Linked DNA regions of Saccharomyces cerevisiae S288C. Changing the gene in region 2 together with the main gene of any one other region gives a genetic interaction. Each region holds a gene or a part of one and is shown on either strand. Other genes may lie near its edges.

Evidence for each region.
Region 1: of SIT4 (region 2) and KTI12, a mutation in one rescues a mutant of the other (synthetic rescue), as found in Saccharomyces cerevisiae (one study listed by BioGRID).
Region 3: of SIT4 (region 2) and SDS23, a mutation in one rescues a mutant of the other (synthetic rescue), as found in Saccharomyces cerevisiae (2 studies listed by BioGRID, with this or other methods).
Region 4: of SIT4 (region 2) and ISC1, changing one suppresses a phenotype caused by changing the other (phenotypic suppression), as found in Saccharomyces cerevisiae (4 studies listed by BioGRID, with this or other methods).

What each region holds. Positions count from the first base shown.
Region 1 is NC_001143.9:226,962-232,101, forward strand, and holds KTI12 (Kti12p), read right to left. Parts: upstream 2,920-5,140; coding exon 1,978-2,919; downstream 1-1,977. Other genes in the region: DNA-binding protein ABF1, read left to right, coding at 1-1,804. UniProt on the Saccharomyces cerevisiae protein: Elongator complex-associated factor that is not a structural subunit but rather transiently contacts the complex.
Region 2 is NC_001136.10:366,063-371,206, reverse strand, and holds SIT4 (type 2A-related serine/threonine-protein phosphatase SIT4), read right to left. Parts: upstream 1,437-5,144; coding exon 501-1,436; downstream 1-500. Other genes in the region: STP4 (Stp4p), read left to right, coding at 2,996-4,468. UniProt on the Saccharomyces cerevisiae protein: Involved in the dephosphorylation of the large subunit of RNA polymerase II. Is required in late G1 for normal G1 cyclin expression, bud initiation and expression of certain genes that are periodically expressed during late G1.
Region 3 is NC_001139.9:393,426-399,231, forward strand, and holds SDS23 (Sds23p), read right to left. Parts: upstream 4,194-5,806; coding exon 2,610-4,193; downstream 1-2,609. Other genes in the region: protein kinase PKP2, read left to right, coding at 1-273; E2 ubiquitin-conjugating protein RAD6, read left to right, coding at 561-1,079; GEP7 (Gep7p), read right to left, coding at 1,541-2,404; OLE1 (stearoyl-CoA 9-desaturase), read left to right, coding at 5,203-5,806. UniProt on the Saccharomyces cerevisiae protein: Involved in DNA replication and cell separation during budding.
Region 4 is NC_001137.3:189,783-195,476, reverse strand, and holds ISC1 (inositol phosphosphingolipid phospholipase), read right to left. Parts: upstream 2,681-5,694; coding exon 1,247-2,680; downstream 1-1,246. Other genes in the region: GPA2 (guanine nucleotide-binding protein subunit alpha), read right to left, coding at 1-309; Arf family guanine nucleotide exchange factor SBH2, read left to right, coding at 938-1,204; kinetochore-associated Ndc80 complex subunit SPC25, read left to right, coding at 2,853-3,518; AAA family ATPase AFG3, read left to right, coding at 3,689-5,694. UniProt on the Saccharomyces cerevisiae protein: Responsible for the hydrolysis of the phosphosphingolipids (IPS), inositol phosphorylceramide (IPC), mannosylinositol phosphorylceramide (MIPC), and mannosyldiinositol phosphorylceramide (M(IP)2C).

The DNA.
Region 1 (5,140 bases), on a different chromosome or scaffold from region 2:
CAGTAAACTTGACTTCGTTACTGATGATCTTGAATACCATCTGGCGAACACTCATCCGGACGACACCAATGACAAAGTGGAGTCGAGAAGCAATGAGGTGAATGGGAACAATGACGATGATGCTGATGCCAACAACATTTTTAAACAGCAAGGTGTTACTATCAAGAACGACACTGAAGATGATTCGATAAATAAGGCCTCTATTGACCGGGGATTGGACGACGAGAGCGGTCCTACTCATGGTAATGACAGCGGTAACCACCGTCACAACGAGGAGGATGACGTCCATACCCAAATGACGAAAAACTATTCTGACGTAGTGAACGATGAAGACATCAACGTTGCCATTGCCAATGCCGTCGCAAATGTAGATTCTCAATCAAACAATAAGCACGATGGAAAAGACGATGATGCCACTAACAACAATGATGGCCAAGATAATAATACTAATAACGATCACAACAATAACAGCAATATCAATAACAACAATGTCGGTAGCCACGGCATTTCCTCCCACTCACCATCCTCCATACGAGACACGTCTATGAATTTAGACGTCTTCAATTCTGCTACCGATGATATACCGGGCCCATTTGTCGTTACCAAAATTGAGCCCTATCATAGTCACCCACTAGAAGATAACTTGTCACTGGGTAAATTTATCCTAACTAAGATTCCAAAGATTTTACAAAACGATTTAAAGTTTGATCAAATACTAGAAAGCTCTTACAATAATTCTAACCATACAGTGAGTAAATTTAAAGTTTCTCATTACGTGGAGGAGTCCGGTCTTTTAGACATTTTAATGCAAAGATATGGATTAACCGCCGAAGATTTCGAAAAAAGGTTACTTTCCCAAATAGCCAGACGTATAACGACGTATAAAGCAAGATTTGTTTTGAAAAAGAAAAAAATGGGCGAGTATAATGATTTACAACCTTCTTCATCTTCCAATAACAACAATAACAACGATGGTGAGCTTTCTGGCACGAACTTGAGAAGTAACTCTATCGACTACGCCAAACATCAGGAAATATCAAGTGCGGGTACCTCATCGAACACAACCAAAAATGTGAATAATAACAAGAATGACAGTAATGACGATAATAACGGCAACAATAATAATGACGCCTCAAATTTAATGGAAAGTGTGCTAGATAAAACCTCTAGTCACCGGTATCAACCCAAGAAGATGCCAAGCGTCAATAAATGGAGCAAGCCAGATCAAATAACTCATTCAGACGTGTCCATGGTTGGCCTAGATGAATCAAACGATGGCGGTAATGAAAATGTCCACCCAACCTTGGCTGAAGTAGACGCTCAAGAAGCTCGTGAAACTGCTCAGTTAGCCATAGACAAGATCAATTCTTATAAGAGGTCCATTGATGACAAGAATGGTGATGGCCATAACAATTCGTCGAGAAACGTGGTAGATGAAAACTTGATCAACGATATGGATTCAGAAGATGCTCACAAGTCCAAAAGACAGCATTTGTCAGATATCACACTGGAAGAGAGAAATGAAGACGACAAACTACCACATGAAGTGGCGGAACAGTTAAGGTTACTGTCATCGCATTTGAAAGAGGTAGAGAATCTACACCAGAATAATGATGATGACGTAGACGATGTAATGGTGGACGTGGATGTAGAATCGCAGTATAATAAGAACACAACTCATCATAATAACCATCATAGCCAACCTCATCACGATGAAGAAGATGTTGCTGGACTAATAGGGAAAGCCGATGATGAAGAAGACCTTTCTGATGAAAACATTCAACCAGAATTAAGAGGTCAATAGATACCCAGTTGAGAAGACGAGCTATTTTTCTCATGTTTCTTTTGTTTATTCACTTTTCTATACTTTTTCTTTTCTATTGAAATATATATTATATCTTATGTATGTTTTTTTGTATTATAAACAAGCAAATTTCGTCTTGCCATTTACCTTCTGATATTAATCACATGTATATCTCAATTCAAGTTTTTGTTAAGATAATCAGCGAAAAGCGGACCGATCCTATCTTGATCTATATCTCTTAGTTTGTTGAAGTTAATGAATTGCCTTTTCAATCTCTGCAATTGCGCCAACGTAACGACGTTACCAATGGGCAAGTCTACGAAGAAGCAACCATCATCATTGATATCGGTAATCCCTTCGGAAACAATGACTCTTGTTCCGTTACTTACCCCGCCAATAGAAGTCAGGCTTTTGATGTGGTTCATTATGGTTTTTATTATCTTACTAGTTTCGATGTCGAGAACCTGGATGAAATTGGACTGAGACGCAGGCTTTAGTACCGTGGCTGAGTTCGGTTTTTGTAAGCCCTTACTCAACGGATCATTGTGTCCACTGTTTTTAGCCGATTTGGAAGTTTGAAAGACTACTTTACAAATATCGTCGATGTAGTCAGTTATGTTGTCCTGAGGAGTAAGAATAGCAAAGAGTGGAGAGTCCCATCGGTTGCTTGAGTTAGGCTCTTCGTATCGTTGAATCAATTGATTCAATAACTCGGGTTCCCAAGGGTTCGGGTTTGAAGTCTTATTCCACTCGAATATAGTCTCTGGTGGACACAGTGTTTGAATTACACAAAATGTGGTGGACAAATTTTTCACCTCGCAGTGAAGTTGATACCGGAAACCCTTGATATAATTCAACGAGTCTACAATGACTATCTTGTTTTTAGATAGATCTCTTTTCACTGCGGAGATGATCTCCGACCTCAATTTTCTTTCATCTTGGGAAGTTATATAATCTGAATGTTTTATGCCTAAAGATTCATCTGAATGATAGGTTATGGAATATTTACTTAATGATGGGGTTGCATCGATCTTGGACTGTAGTAGTTGTACCAAATGTTTAGCAAGCGTTGTCTTACCACTACATGGGTATCCCGTAAAAAGCACCAGTGGCATCTTCTTACTAAATTGCCTGTTTAGTTTTTTCAAAAGTTTTACAAGGTCCCTTTACCCTCATTCTGATACGTTATTGTTCAAGTTTCACCTGTTCATCAAGTATTCTTCATTTCTTTTTCCATCGCGATGACGATGACAAAACGGCAAAAAGTCAAAGAAAAAGAAAAAAAAAGATTTTTTTTCCATCATATGCAGAGAGAATATGTCCAAGCCAAGCGCAGTGTGCATGTATGCTGTTTTTAGCATATCGGGTGTGCGAAAGGAATGACATAATGATTTGCAACTAATATTTCCTTATATAAATATGCTTCTGGATATGAGTCTCATGAAACAAGTTCAGTAATTGCTTGTTTTACCCTTACTTTTTTCTTGGTTATGACTTGTGTACATAATAAATTGCCTATTTTCCCAAATTGTGTCCTTTTTCCTTTCCGGTTGGTATGAGATATTTCTTTTCAAAAATCAAAAGAAAACAACAAAGGGTTGATATTATGTAATGCAATACCTAGAATCGGGAAAAACTTGTTTGTCGTACCAAGAGAGGCAGCACTGGCGTGCCTTGATTTAATATAACTCCTGAGATAGTGGGGGTTACATGAGTTGTACAGCATAAGACTCCCTCTCCCCAGTTCTGTTCGTATATGTCGGGCTTGCTTGCGAAAGCAAGGGGTTCAATAAACAGAAAACAGAGTTTTTGGATAAAGTTTAAACAACGGAAACAGAGCAACAATGAAGGAGAGAATAAGTATCAATTGTGTAATTCTGTATACCGTAGTGCACAGTACGCTGTGCGCAACTCTTGCCTAAAAAATCTAGTTATCAAGCGGGGTGAATATGCTACAATGCCTCTTTTACGTTGTACTCTATCAAGGGATGATAGCAGTGGCACATATTGATTGATACGACTTTTCGCCGCGCGGTAGGCGAAAAGCAAAGAAAACTACAGTAATATCCAGAAATAGATGCATTTTATGTGCGAAATAAAACTCATGCTGAAAAAAATAGTAATAATTAATAGGGTAACGAATAGAATGCAAACCTTATCACGTGAAAGAGAGAACAATCATAAATGATTTAGTGCGTAGGTCCAGATTTGCGAAACACTGCGGAAGGCGAGAAAAGAATTCGAATATGAAGTAGGTAGAAGCAGAGGTAGGGCCGCTATTTAAAGATATACTTTTTCTGTACGGGCCGGTGACTTCGCAGTAGTGATGTACTATGAGATCACTATTTTGCCGGAAACTGTAGGCAAAAACCGTTTATGTCTTTTTTTCACCTTACGGGATAACCTCTGCTGAGAATTTCCAAAACTAGGCATGGATGATTGCCGGAATTTGAAACCCGGGCCCCGGAGGTTGATCGCACGGCAAATACATAAGAACCTTCTCCGCAATACGGGCTTTCCTCAATTTTCTTGGCCAAAAAGCGAGTCGGCCCCGAGCTACAAATCGGGAACAACGGAGGAATAGAGCGACAAGTTGATTCGGTCGTGCAGCCCGGAAAAAAAAGGCTGTCCTGCGGGCTTTATTCACTCCAATGCCGCTGAGAGGAACACGCGTTTCGTGGGCTTTGGACCACTACCCCGGCGTTCAGAGAAACCCCCCGGGGCAGGGGTCCGAAGTCTAAAAGTTTAATCCGGAAGTAGCGACGGGGGGGAAGCCCGCCGCGCACAGATGGCCAGCACAACGGAGCGGGGCCGAGGCGGCAAACGAGGTTAAGCCCGCTGAACCTGAAAAAAAAAACGAAAATTTTCTTTCATCAAGGACTAAAGTTTTCTTATGTTACGGATCTTGCACGCGGTAAGCAATGGCCGTAGCCTTTTCACAGTTGCTTCCAAGTGTCATGTATCGATTTTGCAGATTGTTCTAAAAGTAAATGGATTGCTATTTTCTTTCCGAGACTACTCTAAAAAAATTTATTGAGTATGAGATCGTTTTTAGATAAATTATATATATTGTAAAGCTATTAACTAATCTCCTATATCAATTTCTTCTTGCTTAACCCCGTGTGGTTGTTTAGGTCCATCTCCTTTTTCCTTTTAATTTTTTTACCTTTATTAATTCCTTCACCTCTCTAAACCCCAGTTTTATATCGTATATGCTATCTACAGGTCCACTTTACACTTAATAATATAAAAATACTACTATAAAGGAACCAGAAAAATAAAAAAGGGTCATTATTTATTTGAGCAGATCATTATCAAACGCATAGGAAGAGAAAA
Region 2 (5,144 bases):
TTAATATGGTTATGCTTTTCTGCCTTGGCGAATCAGCTCTTTAAGTAGCGCCAGTCTTTTATATTTCCCCTCCCGAGTGTTGATTAAAGTTTTTTTATTATCAGGGATTCCACCCTCTTTCAATAGATCCAAACCGTGGGAGGTGACGTTTCGGCACGATGAACGTAATAATTATTGTGATAATAATATAATGTAATATAACATAGTAGTATTATATATATATATATATATATATATAAATAGGAAAGAAAGGACAAGGACAAAAAGGAAAAGAAAACTGCAATTGTTGAATATGTAGTTACTAGTTCTCATTCCTTCTTTTTTTTTTTAATTTTTTATTTGGTCATTTTGACCATAGTAAATGGAATGCTCTTAGAATGTGCTTGTTGTGTATCGTATCGTAGCAAATGGCGTAATGAAAAAGTTTCTGATTTTTGTAGTCTTTTTTTTATTGTGAAAATTATTTTTATTCGTCGAGTTAGGGAGGGCATGCCGTCGTGTTATAAGAAATAGCCGGCTCTTTGATTATTATGGTTTGCCGTGGATTCTCTTATGTAGTCATCGGGAACAGCCGAGAAAATTTTGAAAGTAGGTTCCAGATCCTCATCGACCTTCATTACACTCGCGACATTACCACATCTATAACAGTAATTTGGCGCGGACCACACGGTTACAACGTCCTTTTCAGGAAAATGGTACTTGAACCCCTCCATAACCAGTTGGTGAGCCCGGGCAATAAGGTTCAGTCCATTAACGTGGTTAAACTCTCTAGCAACTTTACTGCCAAAGAGCCATCCTGCACCACGAGGGGAAACTTGCCAAGCCTCTACATTGTCAGGGTCTGACCAAAGCAGGTCCGAGAACCCACCCTCGTGTGGCACTTCTTGAGCTCTTGACAAGACTCTGATTTGATCGAGCATTCTAATCTCGGGAGATAACCCTCCATGGACACATAAGATCTTACCGTCAATTATAGCGGCCAGCGTCAGGAAATCAAAAACTTGACAGCAATACTTCCATACGGTGGTAGATCCGTACTTATTCAGGCATTCCTCGTAGAACCCGTAAACTTGAGTAATTTGTCTGGACTCATGGTTTCCTCTGACCAAAGTTATCTTTGCCGGGTACTTGACTTTCAGACACATTAAAAGCGTAAAAGTTTCCAGACTATAGTAGCCACGATCCACGTAATCACCGAGAAAAATGTAGTTTATATCGTCAGGAAAGCCACCCGCCGTACGGAATAGCTCTAACAAGTCATGAAATTGGCCGTGTATGTCTCCACATACAGTAACGGGGGTCTGTACCGGCTGGATGTTACTTTCCTCCATCAAAAGTTCTTTCACCATTTCACACAGTTGTTTCATCTCGTTTTCAGTTAGCGCCTGGCATTTCTTTATTGTTTCAAGCCATTCGTCGGGGCCTCTAGATACCATTGTTATTGTTCCTTTTATTATGGATGTTTTTGAGCTTCAATAGTATTTCACCTTGTAATGTCGAATCTAAAAAGAGCGAGGAGGGGACTGAAGAATAATAGGAAGAGAAAGAGGGACCGTATGTGCAGAACTCCTTTATCTGTATGCTTATGATAGTATGCAATAACCTATTGTATTGCTTCTTTTTCTTTTTTATCTACCGTCTGTAGCTCTTCAATGCTCCATTACGTTGTGTGCGAGCATCACTGGGTTTCCACTGAAGGCTATATTTTTTTTAATTTTGCTGGGCTTCGACTCGATATGCATGTTTTTTTTTTACCGCTCCATGAGCGAAGAGAGAAAGAGAGCGAGAGCGAAAGAAAAAATACAGCGGACTTGACTAGACTTATTACCCGCAGAAAGATGGATATCACTTAACACGGAAGTATCGCTCGCGCCGCTTCATGTTACCCGCGGCTGTGTTATTCCCCCTTTTTCTTTCTTTTTCTTTTTTTTTTTTTTTTTTTTTTTTGGATTTCTTTTAATTTCATTCTTTTCATCTCTCCTGCGTCGCCTTACACTTCATGGTTACCAATAGCGTGGCCTTCCTTTTTTTTTTTCCGGGAACCGCCGCGGCTTTGCAATTTGCTTGTTAGTCAAACCCCGCGGTAGTTAAAATCAGTGACAAGAGCAGAAAAAACACCACACGCAATGGCCGCATATGAGGCAAATGGTGGGGAGGCACGACGTGGCCGCACAGGGGAAGGGGAGCCCACATTTGCGTTATTTTTTTTCCTCCGGCTGCTTTTTAGCCTTCTACGCGCGGGACGGCTTGCGCGCGTTCTCGGAACTTCTAATTAGTCCGGGGGGAATCAAGTTCCGGGCCGACACTTACACGAGCACATTGAGGAAAATAAAATCCGGGAATGTCTTGCCGGATATGACCTGAATTGGGAATCCCGGATTTTTTTTACTACTTCTTTCGTTGGCCTCATTCGAGTCTTTGAATAGAAAAAGAACAGATCTCAAATAGCCGCATTGATTCTCGCTTGGCTGCCACACAATTTGGTAGTGGCTGTCGGAAACCCCCCATGCGCTTATTGCTAGATTGGTCTTTTCCTTCCCTTACGGCCCGTGGCTAACTCTCAAGGATATCTCTAGATTGTCACTTCCTAGGGGCATTGTTAGTGGTATGGTTACTTAAACCTATTTTATGTACGTAATGCTCTCCTCGCTGTTTTACTCTTCCCTTTTCCAATTTTTTTTCTTCGTTTCCTTTTGTTTTCTACTACTGATAGCTCCCATCCGCAGAGGAACAGAGGGCGAAAAAAAAAGCACCATTTCTTAAAAGTTAAAGCTGCATCAGTGCGTTCTTTATTCTGTCTATTTCTCAAAAGCGCATATTTCCGTCTTTATACATTTATATATATATTCTAAGTGGAGCTGGAAAAAACATGGAAGTAAATTCGGTGCCCTATGATTAGGATATCTAATTCTTGTCAGTTGCTTTTCTTGGTTTGCAGTAGCTGTAACACTGGAGCGCTTGGAATATTTGTTACTTCTTTTCTTTGGCTTCCCCTATGCTGGTATCATCATCTTTTGCATCAAGCATTGACTCAGTAATGTCCCATGAGACGATGTCTTTACGGAGAAACCCTCCCTTTATAGATACTCCAGAAAAAATGCCAAACCCAACGGCTTCTCCCAATGGCACCATTCACCATTTGATAGATCCATCACTGCCATTGTTGTCCAGTACTACGTCGTCTTCGCGCTCTACCCTCAGTTCTACACTGAATTCTCCTCCACCTCCCCCATTAACTACATCATACTCTTCTTATAACTCCTCTGCATGCCAGTCTATCACGAGTTCGCCTACAGACAATACAGCCTTGGCACATAATTCCAAATGCTATTTCCCTCATAGCCTTTCTCCAACACCGCTGTCATCCAACAGCTCAAGCCATGTCATTTTGCCACCCATATCCTCCTTCACCAATTTAATTACAGTTGCAGAAAGAGAATTTAACGGCAGATCAAATTCCTTGCATGCCAATTTTACATCACCGGTGCCAAGAACAGTGCTAGATCATCACAGACATGAGCTAACATTTTGCAACCCTAACAACACAACGGGTTTCAAAACCATCACCCCCTCACCACCAACTCAACACCAGAGTATATTGCCAACCGCGGTAGATAACGTACCGAGATCAAAATCCGTGTCCAGCCTACCCGTTAGTGGATTCCCACCTTTGATCGTCAAACAACAACAGCAACAGCAACTCAACAGTAGTAGTAGTGCCTCTGCACTACCGTCTATTCATTCCCCATTGACTAATGAACATACAAGCAGGTATTCATCGTCTTTAAAGGATTCCGCCAAGATAACGAAGCAAAGAAAGAAAAAGGAATGCCCCATCTGCCACAACTTCTACGCCAACCTATCTACGCATAAATCCACTCATTTAACTCCGGAGGACAGACCGCATAAGTGCCCTATCTGTCAACGCGGCTTTGCCAGGAACAATGATCTGATAAGGCACAAGAAGCGCCATTGGAAAGATGAATTTATGCAAATATACGCAAGGGAGTCCGACAACAATAGTGGTGCTGACGATCAAGATGACACTGCCCGCACCTCCGCAAACAACGACAGCGACGACTCAAACGATAAACTCGCTGCCTCATCCTCTTCCGAAGAAACAAAACTACTGAAGAAAAACCAATTGAAATCACTATACAAGATTAAAGGTGCATTCAAGTGTCCTTACAACTCTACTCTGATCAATTTGGATATGGAGGTGTATCCACACAAGTCTAGATCACTCTATTTCGAGCCAATAAACTGTCATCAAACGGGCGTTTTTTCGCGCTGTGATACTTTCAAGAATCACCTAAAGGCTTTGCATTTCGAGTACCCGCCCAAGACCAAGAAAGAAGATAGAGGTGTTGTGCCGGGGAAGTGCAAGCATTGTGGACTGCAATTTCCGAACGTTGACGTCTGGCTAAATAAGCACGTGGGGAAAGGATGTGGCTACTCATATCACTAAAACCAAAGTCATTCACCGACTCATACATACACACACATACATACATTTATTTATTTATGCCCTAATAATACACATCATTTCTGCGTAAATTATTGTTACGCTGCCCTACGTTATTAATCTAGATTCTTGTTTTCTCTCTGTGTCTCGTTTCTCTTTTTAGGCATGAAGCGAAAAAATCAACAACCGCTATTGACAGGAAGCAAGCTGGCATGAGCCGTTTTTTTTACTTTTTTTGATTTTACCAGAAGGGCGTTGAGACCTGCATCAGCCGTTTGCGGATAGGTTATGCCAGTGATGAAGCACCTGATTCAACTGCCGGCTCTCCGATTGGTCTCCGATCGTTTAGTTCCTTATATTGTACACTATTTCAGCTGTACAAGCCTAGGCCCGAATCGAATTATAAGTCCGTCCGGCTCAAGTCATGGACTCATTATCGATTCGTCTTTTTTTAGCTGCCCCCACGTTATCTCTTCTTTTTTTTTTCTCTGCATCGCGGCGAGTCCCTTGAAAGGGTCGCGAACCTTCGAAGCAGCACTTCTTTTTTTCACATGAGAATGTAGTCCATTGCGTAAATCCAGTCTTTGCGGCTTTCCCTTCTTCCTCATCATATTGTTGACCAACTCCAACAGAAAAGCACATTTCCTCTTCACCAATTTTCTTCTTTCTTTTTTGAAAG
Region 3 (5,806 bases), on a different chromosome or scaffold from region 2:
ACATTAAAACCGTACATGCACACGTCGCTAGAACCAATGAGTTATCCTAGCATCATAAATGGGCACATCAAATATGAAACTCCCCTAATTGAATTGTTAAAGCGGTCTTTTAGATACAAGCTTGGGATTGGGTTAGCCATGTGTAAAGTGTATGCTGAATATTGGAACGGCGACCTTTCATTGCATTCAATGCCTGGATATGGTACCGATGTTGTATTAAAATTAGGCAACTTGATGAAGCATACGAAGAAACTACAATTAGATAAAGTGTGAGCTAACCATGCTTACACTATATACCAAGGAACAAATACATATTCGGAATATTAGTATGGTGACTACATTTCCCGGATTAGTGTATGTATATACAAAAAGGCACCTCCGGGTAGCCGGAGTAGAAAGCTGGAAAAATAAAAATGAAAGCGAATGGAATGTGTAAGAGAAAAAAAGGAAAGAACTATCAAGTTGCAGAGTTGATGACATAAATAGTAGAGTGGAAAATCAACGAAGATCGAATTCCAAAGATTATTTTTAGGCAGACAGAGACTAAAAGATAAAGCGTCATGTCCACACCAGCTAGAAGAAGGTTGATGAGAGATTTTAAACGTATGAAGGAAGATGCCCCACCGGGTGTATCTGCTTCACCATTACCTGATAACGTCATGGTATGGAACGCCATGATTATCGGGCCAGCCGATACTCCATATGAAGACGGAACTTTTAGGTTATTGTTGGAGTTTGATGAAGAATATCCCAATAAGCCACCGCATGTCAAATTTTTGAGTGAAATGTTTCATCCCAATGTCTATGCAAATGGTGAAATTTGTTTGGATATTTTGCAGAACAGATGGACTCCAACATATGATGTCGCATCCATATTGACATCCATTCAAAGTTTATTCAACGATCCAAATCCAGCTTCGCCAGCAAACGTTGAAGCTGCAACATTATTCAAAGATCATAAATCACAGTACGTCAAAAGAGTTAAGGAGACGGTAGAGAAATCTTGGGAGGATGATATGGACGATATGGACGATGATGATGATGATGATGACGACGACGACGACGACGAAGCAGACTGAGAAAAATCAAAAGAATCTTAATGATGAATGCCGAGCCGATATTATGAATTCGATTACCTTTTTGTTCAATCAAATATAGGGCTTCATCGTGAGTTTCTTTCTCTATCGATCCGTTTGCTTTCTATTCCTCCATCTTCTACTTTATACCGTAAAGAAAATTTAATAATGATAGAAACATTGCATATAAATAATATACTAAAAAGAAACACTGCTCTACCATAAATTTCTTTGGAGAAAATAACGTGAAATGAGAAATAAGGACAATTTGTTATCGGTTATAACTGCCGATACCCGTATCTTTTGTGTTTGATTCAAGGAATACTTATTTAGAGTAGAAAGAATATATTTACTTAGATAACTTAATGTATAATATATAAAAAAAATCAAAAAAACAGGAAAAAAAAAAATCATGAGTGAGTGGCACTTTTAACTGCAAGAATGAAGAGTGACCCCATTTTTTTTTATTCTGATATTACAGTACTCTTCTGTGCGGGCAGCTCCTTCGTTTTTTGTTTTGCACTTTCATCCAACCACACATATATGGAAACAAAAACGACGAATGAAATTATAGCTTTGCTGAATGGATCTATGCTCTTCCAAGTAAACCTTTTATCATCAAGATGAAACACCTTGACCACGTTTTGCACATCAGCAGGTAGTATATTTGCGTTTTTGTTATTTTGTAGGAGAAACCAATTATATTCGATGAATGGAAGTTTCAAGAATTGGGACCTAACTGACGGAGAAGAGTTTGTCAGGACAAATTGAGTTCGAGGTCCAAGAAAGCCAAATGACTTGTAGTACCACAACTGAATGAAATCTTGCTTTAGATCATTCCAGTTTCCTCGCATTTTCTCATTTATGGCAAAATCCAATAAATCTAAGTCATTACCACTTAACTTAGGAAAATTCTGAAGTAATATATTCGTATCTATCAACTGATTGTTATGTGTCGAAGACGGATTGAAGAATTTGTTCATAATGACACCAAGCTCGCCGTTGTTTAGACGCTCAGTTAATAAATGATCGCGTTTCAAACCACTTGTTTCGTCTTCATCTAGATCTGGTGCACTTGGCTGCAAGACGCTAAATATCTCGGACATGGTCTGTGAGAAGGAAATGGGGTTTTCTGTAGATGTAGTACTGCCATTTTGAGCTAACCGTATTTTCTGCTTCAAAAGCAGTGAAGCCGGTGGAATTCTTTCTAATTTTGGTTGATAAAATCTCTTTACCAAAAGATTTCCTGCGACTGCTTTAATCATGGGACCGATTCTGAAGGCTCTATGCGATTTTAATCTGAAGATTTTAACATTTGACAGTACCATCTCAATCGGACCTTTTAACTGATTTTAGCGAGAACATGTGTATATATTTCCTCTAAGAAAAGAAAGGGCCTAAAAACCTCGCCCCAGTGCATAATAAAAGTAAAAAAAAAAAAATCAAACTTTATTGGGATAAAATAAAAATCAGAAAAACCCTTATATATGTATATGTAGTTAAATGAAGCCAGTTTTTTTCGTCTGGTTTGTTTCAGCCTATATGCCCTCTTTGCTTTCTTGCCATCTGCGGATCAATTTCCTTATGATGCGTTTGTTTTCTTGCCAAAACACTTAATATGTCAGTCAATGACACAACACCTATCAATTTACCTGTTCTATACTCCTTTTCGAAATGTGCTGGAGTTGGAGATGCGGGACAATTACTTGGACTTTGAGGTGGTGGCATTGTGGCCGATGGAGACTGTGGTTGAGAAGGTGAGGGACCACTCAAATTTATATTTACATTTATTTTATTGTTTGATGTATCTGAAGATTTTAGAACAGGAGAGTTGGCCATCCTGGAAGATTGCGTGTTCGAATGGTATGACGACGCAAGCGATGGCAATGTCGTTACGGGTGGAGTACTTGGTGATGGAGATGAGGATTTTTCGGAAGATGCTGTTGGTTGATTGTCATTTGGTTGTACTATCCATAATCTGTGAGATTTGGTAGCGACCAATTTGGCAAACGTTCTTGCCAGGGAACTTGTTGGATACACATGGAAAATAGGAAATGAGTCCTTACCGGTCTCTAGGCCCCTTAAATTCAAAATAACCGAGACAAAATGACGACATGTATTGTGTAATAAAGGATATTGTGAAGTTCTGGTGACGTGTTTGACGTCTGTTACTGAAATATTACCAATCAAGTTTCCCTGCGGGTCAACTACCGCAATGGAAGAGATTCTTTCGACATACATTTTATGCAGAGCCATAATTAGATGCTCGTCACCTTGGATGGATATGACACGTGACTGCTTGAATGTAGGTTTATCACGGGCTGCATTTAGTACACCAATATTCAGCTCCTCCAGGGAAGAGTCCAAGAGAGGCTTCAAGTTGGGAAATGATCTCGCATTCTCCCACAGATACTTAATCAATCGACGTTGGGAAAGTATACCTTTAATCTGTGTCATTTCCACGTTCGTGATGGCAACACGATGCACACCTGAGCCTAGTATGCCTATTACCGTCGATAAGTTTTCCGTTTCGGGCAATTTGTAGAATGGATTCTTAGGTGTCAACTTTACTATCTCGCCCACGGGCACGGACTTACCATTCTGGCAGTCTGAGGTTATCTTGTCGTTGCTCACCTTGATCCTGTTTAATACAAGAAGAAGGTACGCATTGAGATCATTATAGTCGAATGTTAAACAATTCATGTCTCCCGGAAAATTCTCCACAGGCAAAGACGTTAGCTGGTGCTTGACCAGCGTGTTGAATGCTTCCTCTACGGAAATAGAACCTCTGATGAAAATCAATTTGTTCTGTTCCACCAAATTTGACAGAGGAGTGTGTTGCCACTCCTGCCTATGAACAGATAACAGATTCTGTGAATTCAAGGTGGACAAGGAGTTGCCATTATTGTTTGAGTATTCCGTGTTATCCAGCGTGGAGAGAGAAGATGAAGATGACGATTTCGAAATAGATTTATGTAGTGATTCTGTGTCGCTTTTGTTTGCTTCAGTGTTCTTGTCTGTCTGTTCGCTCAAACTATTTAAATCTGTGGAATTCGGTAATTGAGGTGGGGTAGAAAGCATTTCTACGATGGACGTGTGTCTTGTATTTTGAGGCATTGGGTGGGTCTTGCTGAAAAGATGATGTTCTGAGGTATTCGTATCGCTAGCTTGATACGCTTTTAACAAAAGTAAGCTTTTCGTTTGCAGGTTTGGTTACTTTTCTGTACGAGATGATATCGCTAAGTTTATAGTCATCTGTGAAATTTCTCAAAAACCTCATGGTTTCTCCATCACCCATTTTTCATTTCATTTGCCGGGCGGAAAAAAAAAAGGAAAAAAAAAAAAAAAAAAAATAAATGACACATGGAAATAAGTCAAGGATTAGCGGATATGTAGTTCCAGTCCGGGTTATACCATCACGTGATAATAAATCCAAATGAGAATGAGGGTGTCATATCTAATCATTATGCACGTCAAGATTCTCCGTGACTATGGCTCTTTTCTGAAGCATTTTTCGGGCGCCCGGTGGCCAAAAACTAACTCCGAGCCCGGGCATGTCCCGGGGTTAGCGGGCCCAACAAAGGCGCTTATCTGGTGGGCTTCCGTAGAAGAAAAAAAGCTGTTGAGCGAGCTATTTCGGGTATCCCAGCCTTCTCTGCAGACCGCCCCAGTTGGCTTGGCTCTGGTGCTGTTCGTTAGCATCACATCGCCTGTGACAGGCAGAGGTAATAACGGCTTAAGGTTCTCTTCGCATAGTCGGCAGCTTTCTTTCGGACGTTGAACACTCAACAAACCTTATCTAGTGCCCAACCAGGTGTGCTTCTACGAGTCTTGCTCACTCAGACACACCTATCCCTATTGTTACGGCTATGGGGATGGCACACAAAGGTGGAAATAATAGTAGTTAACAATATATGCAGCAAATCATCGGCTCCTGGCTCATCGAGTCTTGCAAATCAGCATATACATATATATATGGGGGCAGATCTTGATTCATTTATTGTTCTATTTCCATCTTTCCTACTTCTGTTTCCGTTTATATTTTGTATTACGTAGAATAGAACATCATAGTAATAGATAGTTGTGGTGATCATATTATAAACAGCACTAAAACATTACAACAAAGATGCCAACTTCTGGAACTACTATTGAATTGATTGACGACCAATTTCCAAAGGATGACTCTGCCAGCAGTGGCATTGTCGACGAAGTCGACTTAACGGAAGCTAATATTTTGGCTACTGGTTTGAATAAGAAAGCACCAAGAATTGTCAACGGTTTTGGTTCTTTAATGGGCTCCAAGGAAATGGTTTCCGTGGAATTCGACAAGAAGGGAAACGAAAAGAAGTCCAATTTGGATCGTCTGCTAGAAAAGGACAACCAAGAAAAAGAAGAAGCTAAAACTAAAATTCACATCTCCGAACAACCATGGACTTTGAATAACTGGCACCAACATTTGAACTGGTTGAACATGGTTCTTGTTTGTGGTATGCCAATGATTGGTTGGTACTTTGCTCTCTCTGGTAAAGTGCCTTTGCATTTAAACGTTTTCCTTTTCTCCGTTTTCTACTACGCTGTCGGTGGTGTTTCTATTACTGCCGGTTACCATAGATTATGGTCTCACAGATCTTACTCCGCTCACTGGCCATTGAGATTATTCTACGCTATCTTCGGTTGTGCTTCCGTTGAAGGGTCCGCTAAATGGTGGGGCCACTCTCACAGAATTCACC
Region 4 (5,694 bases), on a different chromosome or scaffold from region 2:
CGACCTGTCTCTCAGGGCAGAGTCGATATTGATCTGTTGCGATCCGCTTGTATTTGCCGTAGCCGTGGGAGATATCGCGTTATTAATGCTCCCGTTTTGCTCCTTGCGGTCCTTAACATTATGCGGAGACGGCTGCTGCTGCCTCTGTTGTTGCTTTTCTTGTTGATTTGCTGTGTTGACTGTTCTCACAGTCTTCTGTGGCTCCTGCTTTGGTGGTACCTTCGCTTTGCCAACGTTGTCACTACCAGCGCTGGCGGTCTGCGTGTCAGGAGTGCTGCCGTTCTTTTCTGAAGATGCGCAGAGACCCATGATATTTGCTTGAAAATACGCGTGATTTGTGCTGTAACAATAAGGCTCGCTGTGATAGCAATTGCTCACTTTTATACCTATCGATTGCTCTTTGGGTAGTGAGAACCAAACCTACCTAAAGTTTTTCCACCCCTTCAGTCTAAGGCTGCACGCACGCGCCTATAAATCCTGCTGCTTATTAACTTTTTTTTTCGGTGCAGTATGCAAGAGGATAAGAAGAATCATTTGGGCGCAGCTGAGGGGGCTTGAACATGATGAAGTAAGGGAAGAAGAAATCGCGAACGAGGCAGTAGTCATGTTTTGTGACTGAATTGGCGGACTTCATTTTACTCCAGACATTTACTTAATGTGGAGCACGCCGGGCGCAGGGATCGTAATATATGGTATATCTTTAGTAATTATAAGTTTGATTCTGCCCCGGGTACCACGGGTTACCCGTTTCCTTAGCCTTTTGGATTTCGTCTTTTTTTTTTTCCTCCATTTTCACTTTTTCATTCAGTTACTAACTGGCCAAAAGAGACATTTTAGATATAAGAGGTATGAGAGAGTAGATATATGTGCGTGTGAGAAAAGGTAAGGGGCGCAAAGCATAAAACAGGTGGTATTATCGATCAACAGTATCATAAGAATGGCAGCTTCAGTTCCACCAGGAGGTCAGCGTATCTTGCAGAAGAGAAGACAGGCACAATCCATTAAGGAAAAGCAAGCAAAACAAACGCCCACTTCCACCAGACAGGCTGGTTACGGTGGGTCTTCAAGCTCAATTTTGAAGTTATATACGGACGAAGCCAATGGATTCAGAGTCGACTCCCTTGTCGTATTGTTCCTATCTGTCGGTTTCATCTTCTCCGTGATTGCTTTGCATCTATTGACGAAATTTACACACATTATATAATATCAGTAATTTTTTTACATATGCTAAAGAAAATCGATAATATCATTTCTCGCTCAAGAAAGTTTGCAGGTGGTGCTCCGCGTCCAGAACCTCTTGTTCGACTTCGATGAGGGCTCTGATTTCAGACCTGCCAAACAAGAAGGAGATGGCACCGTCGATGGTGCCCGAGATGGAGACAGCAATAGCGAAAAGGACCCAGAAGATGGAGGACCAGCCTGCCTTGTTTGCAGTAAACGTTGTCACGACCAACGACGCTATTAGGAGAAGTATTGAGGCCCAGAAATGTAGGCCACGGAAAAATTTCTGTCTTTGGGCTGTCTTCAAGTACGTGTGGATGCATTCTATCATGGTTTCGTAGTTGGAGTATCTCTGCAAGATCAGCTCTCTATCATGAGTCTTCGCACGCTTAACGGAGGTGGATGGACGGGACTCTGTGCCCTGTGGGACGATGTTAAGGGTGCATGAGTATGCAAAATGGTCAGAGACACTGCAGTCCAGGTGAGGGATCCGTTCAGTGAACCTGACACCTGCGTCTACTGTTTGCAAGAAATCAGGGTCGATAAGAGCATAATCCAACCTGCATGCCTCATCGGGTTGTCTTTGGGCCCTCCATGTGTTGAGCAGCGAATCGCACGTGGTACAGCCCTTAAGCAATTGTTGCAATGGAGACAGACGAGCGATCACCGCCAAGTCTTGCTTCCCATGCAATTGCTCCCAGGAGTCGACCAGGCCGGCCTCCTGCGTGAGAAATTTGTGGGGCAGTGAGCCCGGTCTGGAGTTTAAGTCACCCACCACAATCACCGCATAACCGGCCTGCCTGTAAAGCTTAATGAGCCTGCTGAAATCCCAGGCCTGACAAGATCTGTGGCACAAGTAGGCGGCATCACCCTGCTTGGCGTATGGGGCGTGCATGTGACTGTTCATTATTGCAATGGGGCGGGTTCCTGTGTTCAATACGGTGATTGCTATAGATTTCCCTACGTACCAGTCGCCACGGAACACCGCACTCGGTCTACCGTTTATCGGGAACCGGTAAAGAAAGGTCGACTCTATCGGGACCTTGGACAGTATGGCCAACCCAGGCCCCGTCAGAATACCAGAATGGAACAAACGCTGATACGGATACTTGGAGGCACACGCAGAAGCTAGATACTTCCAGTCTTCCACACACCAGATTTCTTGTAAGGCAATCACGTCGTAATCTTCGTTTTCATTACTATCTCCACCATTGGGCAACAACTCGTCAGATATTGGCGTAAGCATTGAGTGGCCCGCCAATTTATCAGCAATTGCTCTGAGTCTTTCTTTACGGTGTTTGGAGACGTATTTTAACCCCCATGTATTGAAGGTCAGAAACTTTATGGAATACGCTTTACTATTATCGGACATAATTGCGTTGGTCCCGTTCAGTGCTTCAAACTCAGATTGACCATCTTCCTTCCTCTCGTGAACATCTCTGTCTTTTCTGTTGTACATATATCTGCTTTTTTTCCCTTTTTACGCGGAAAGCGCAAATTTCCTCGAAGATTTAAGCCAAACCAAAATAAATCAAACCAAACCAAAACAAAACAAAAACAAAAACAAAAACAGGCTAAGCCGATTCAATTAAAACCGCTCATACGTATACAACACATACACACATACAAGAATGGCCAGCATAGACGCATTTTCGGACCTTGAGCGCCGGATGGACGGGTTCCAAAAGGACGTGGCCCAGGTACTGGCACGTCAGCAAAACCACGCGCGCCAACAGCTGCAACAGTTCCAAGCGGAAATGCGTCAATTACATAACCAACACCAACATCTCATAGATGAACTGCAACGGCTTGCCACCCAGCGCACCGCTCTGCAGCAACAAATACATGCGGCCCAACAAGCTACAAATACCACCAGAGAGCAGTGGAGAAGCTATCACGAGCGTGAATCTGAGTTATCTAGACGGCAGTCGACCTTAGCAGCCCAATCGCGCGAGCTGGACTCGCTGCTGCAACAGCGTGGTAAAGAGTGTGTCCAATTACGCGCACGTTGGGCTGCGCAGTCGGGTAACGATGCCGCAGAGGTCGCACTGTACGAACGGCTGTTGCAGCTTCGTGTACTACCCGGAGCCAGCGATGTGCATGACGTACGTTTCGTATTCGGCGATGATTCACGCTGCTGGATCGAAGTCGCGATGCACGGAGACCACGTGATCGGAAACTCTCACCCGGCGCTGGACCCCAAGAGTCGGGCAACACTTGAGCACGTGCTTACCGTCCAGGGCGACCTCGCGGCATTTTTAGTCGTGGCCCGCGATATGCTTCTGGCATCTTTATAACGCCTTTATACGCATCTGTTCAGTTTATTCTGGGCCTATGATTTAGATGAGGAATAAATTGGTTCTTACTGTCTATACATAACTTTTACAAGGACCCATTCTATATTAAAGGAGATTAACGCAGTCTTCAAATAAAGGCATCATCCACTTATTTTATAATATACTAAGTGATGATGATGTGGCAACGATATGCAAGGGGTGCGCCACGCTCATTGACATCACTCTCATTTGGTAAAGCTAGCCGCATATCAACAGTGAAGCCAGTGCTTCGCTCGCGCATGCCAGTTCACCAGCGTTTGCAGACGTTATCTGGTCTGGCAACCAGAAACACAATACACCGTTCTACCCAAATACGTTCCTTCCATATCTCATGGACAAGGTTAAATGAAAATAGGCCAAACAAAGAGGGTGAGGGCAAGAACAATGGTAATAAAGATAATAATAGCAATAAAGAAGATGGCAAAGACAAAAGAAATGAGTTTGGTTCATTATCAGAATACTTCAGATCTAAGGAATTTGCTAATACGATGTTTTTGACCATCGGATTCACAATTATATTTACTTTGCTCACACCTTCCAGTAACAACTCAGGAGACGACTCTAACCGCGTCTTGACTTTCCAGGATTTCAAAACAAAATACCTGGAGAAGGGTCTTGTGTCCAAGATTTACGTCGTTAATAAGTTTCTCGTAGAGGCCGAATTAGTCAATACAAAGCAAGTTGTATCGTTCACCATTGGTTCAGTAGATATTTTTGAGGAACAGATGGACCAGATCCAGGACCTCTTGAACATTCCTCCTCGGGATCGTATCCCCATCAAATACATTGAGAGATCTTCTCCCTTCACATTTTTGTTCCCCTTCCTGCCCACCATCATTCTGCTTGGTGGCCTTTACTTCATAACCAGAAAAATAAATAGTTCACCACCAAATGCCAATGGTGGTGGTGGAGGAGGCCTCGGCGGCATGTTTAATGTTGGAAAATCCAGAGCAAAGCTCTTCAATAAGGAAACAGACATTAAAATTTCATTTAAAAATGTTGCCGGTTGTGATGAAGCTAAACAGGAAATCATGGAATTTGTTCACTTTTTGAAGAACCCAGGTAAGTACACTAAATTGGGTGCCAAGATTCCACGAGGCGCTATTCTTTCTGGACCCCCAGGTACCGGTAAGACTCTCTTGGCCAAGGCCACCGCAGGTGAGGCGAACGTGCCCTTCTTGTCAGTATCAGGTTCTGAGTTCGTCGAAATGTTCGTTGGGGTGGGTGCTTCACGTGTAAGAGACTTGTTTACTCAAGCAAGGTCTATGGCCCCCTCGATTATCTTTATAGATGAAATTGACGCTATCGGTAAAGAAAGAGGCAAAGGCGGCGCTCTCGGTGGCGCTAACGATGAAAGAGAAGCTACGCTGAATCAATTATTGGTGGAAATGGACGGATTCACTACTTCCGACCAAGTCGTAGTCCTTGCGGGTACAAATAGGCCCGATGTGTTGGATAATGCTTTGATGAGACCGGGAAGGTTCGATAGACATATCCAAATTGATTCTCCTGATGTCAATGGTAGGCAGCAAATATACCTGGTTCACTTGAAAAGACTGAATCTGGATCCCCTTCTTACAGATGATATGAATAATCTTTCTGGGAAATTGGCTACGCTTACTCCAGGTTTTACTGGTGCAGATATCGCTAATGCTTGTAATGAGGCTGCATTAATCGCTGCCAGACATAATGACCCATATATCACTATCCATCACTTTGAGCAAGCCATTGAAAGAGTCATTGCGGGACTAGAGAAGAAAACAAGAGTCCTTTCTAAGGAAGAAAAAAGGTCAGTGGCCTATCATGAGGCAGGACATGCCGTTTGTGGTTGGTTTCTAAAATATGCGGATCCACTTCTGAAAGTAAGCATCATCCCGCGTGGACAAGGTGCTTTAGGCTATGCCCAGTACCTACCACCGGATCAATATTTGATATCTGAGGAGCAATTCAGACATAGAATGATCATGGCTCTTGGTGGCCGTGTTTCTGAGGAGCTACATTTTCCATCGGTGACTAGCGGTGCTCATGATGATTTCAAAAAGGTTACACAGATGGCAAATGCCATGGTTACATCCCTAGGAATGTCACCCAAGATTGGCTACCTGTCGTTTGATCAGAATGATGGAAACTTCAAAGT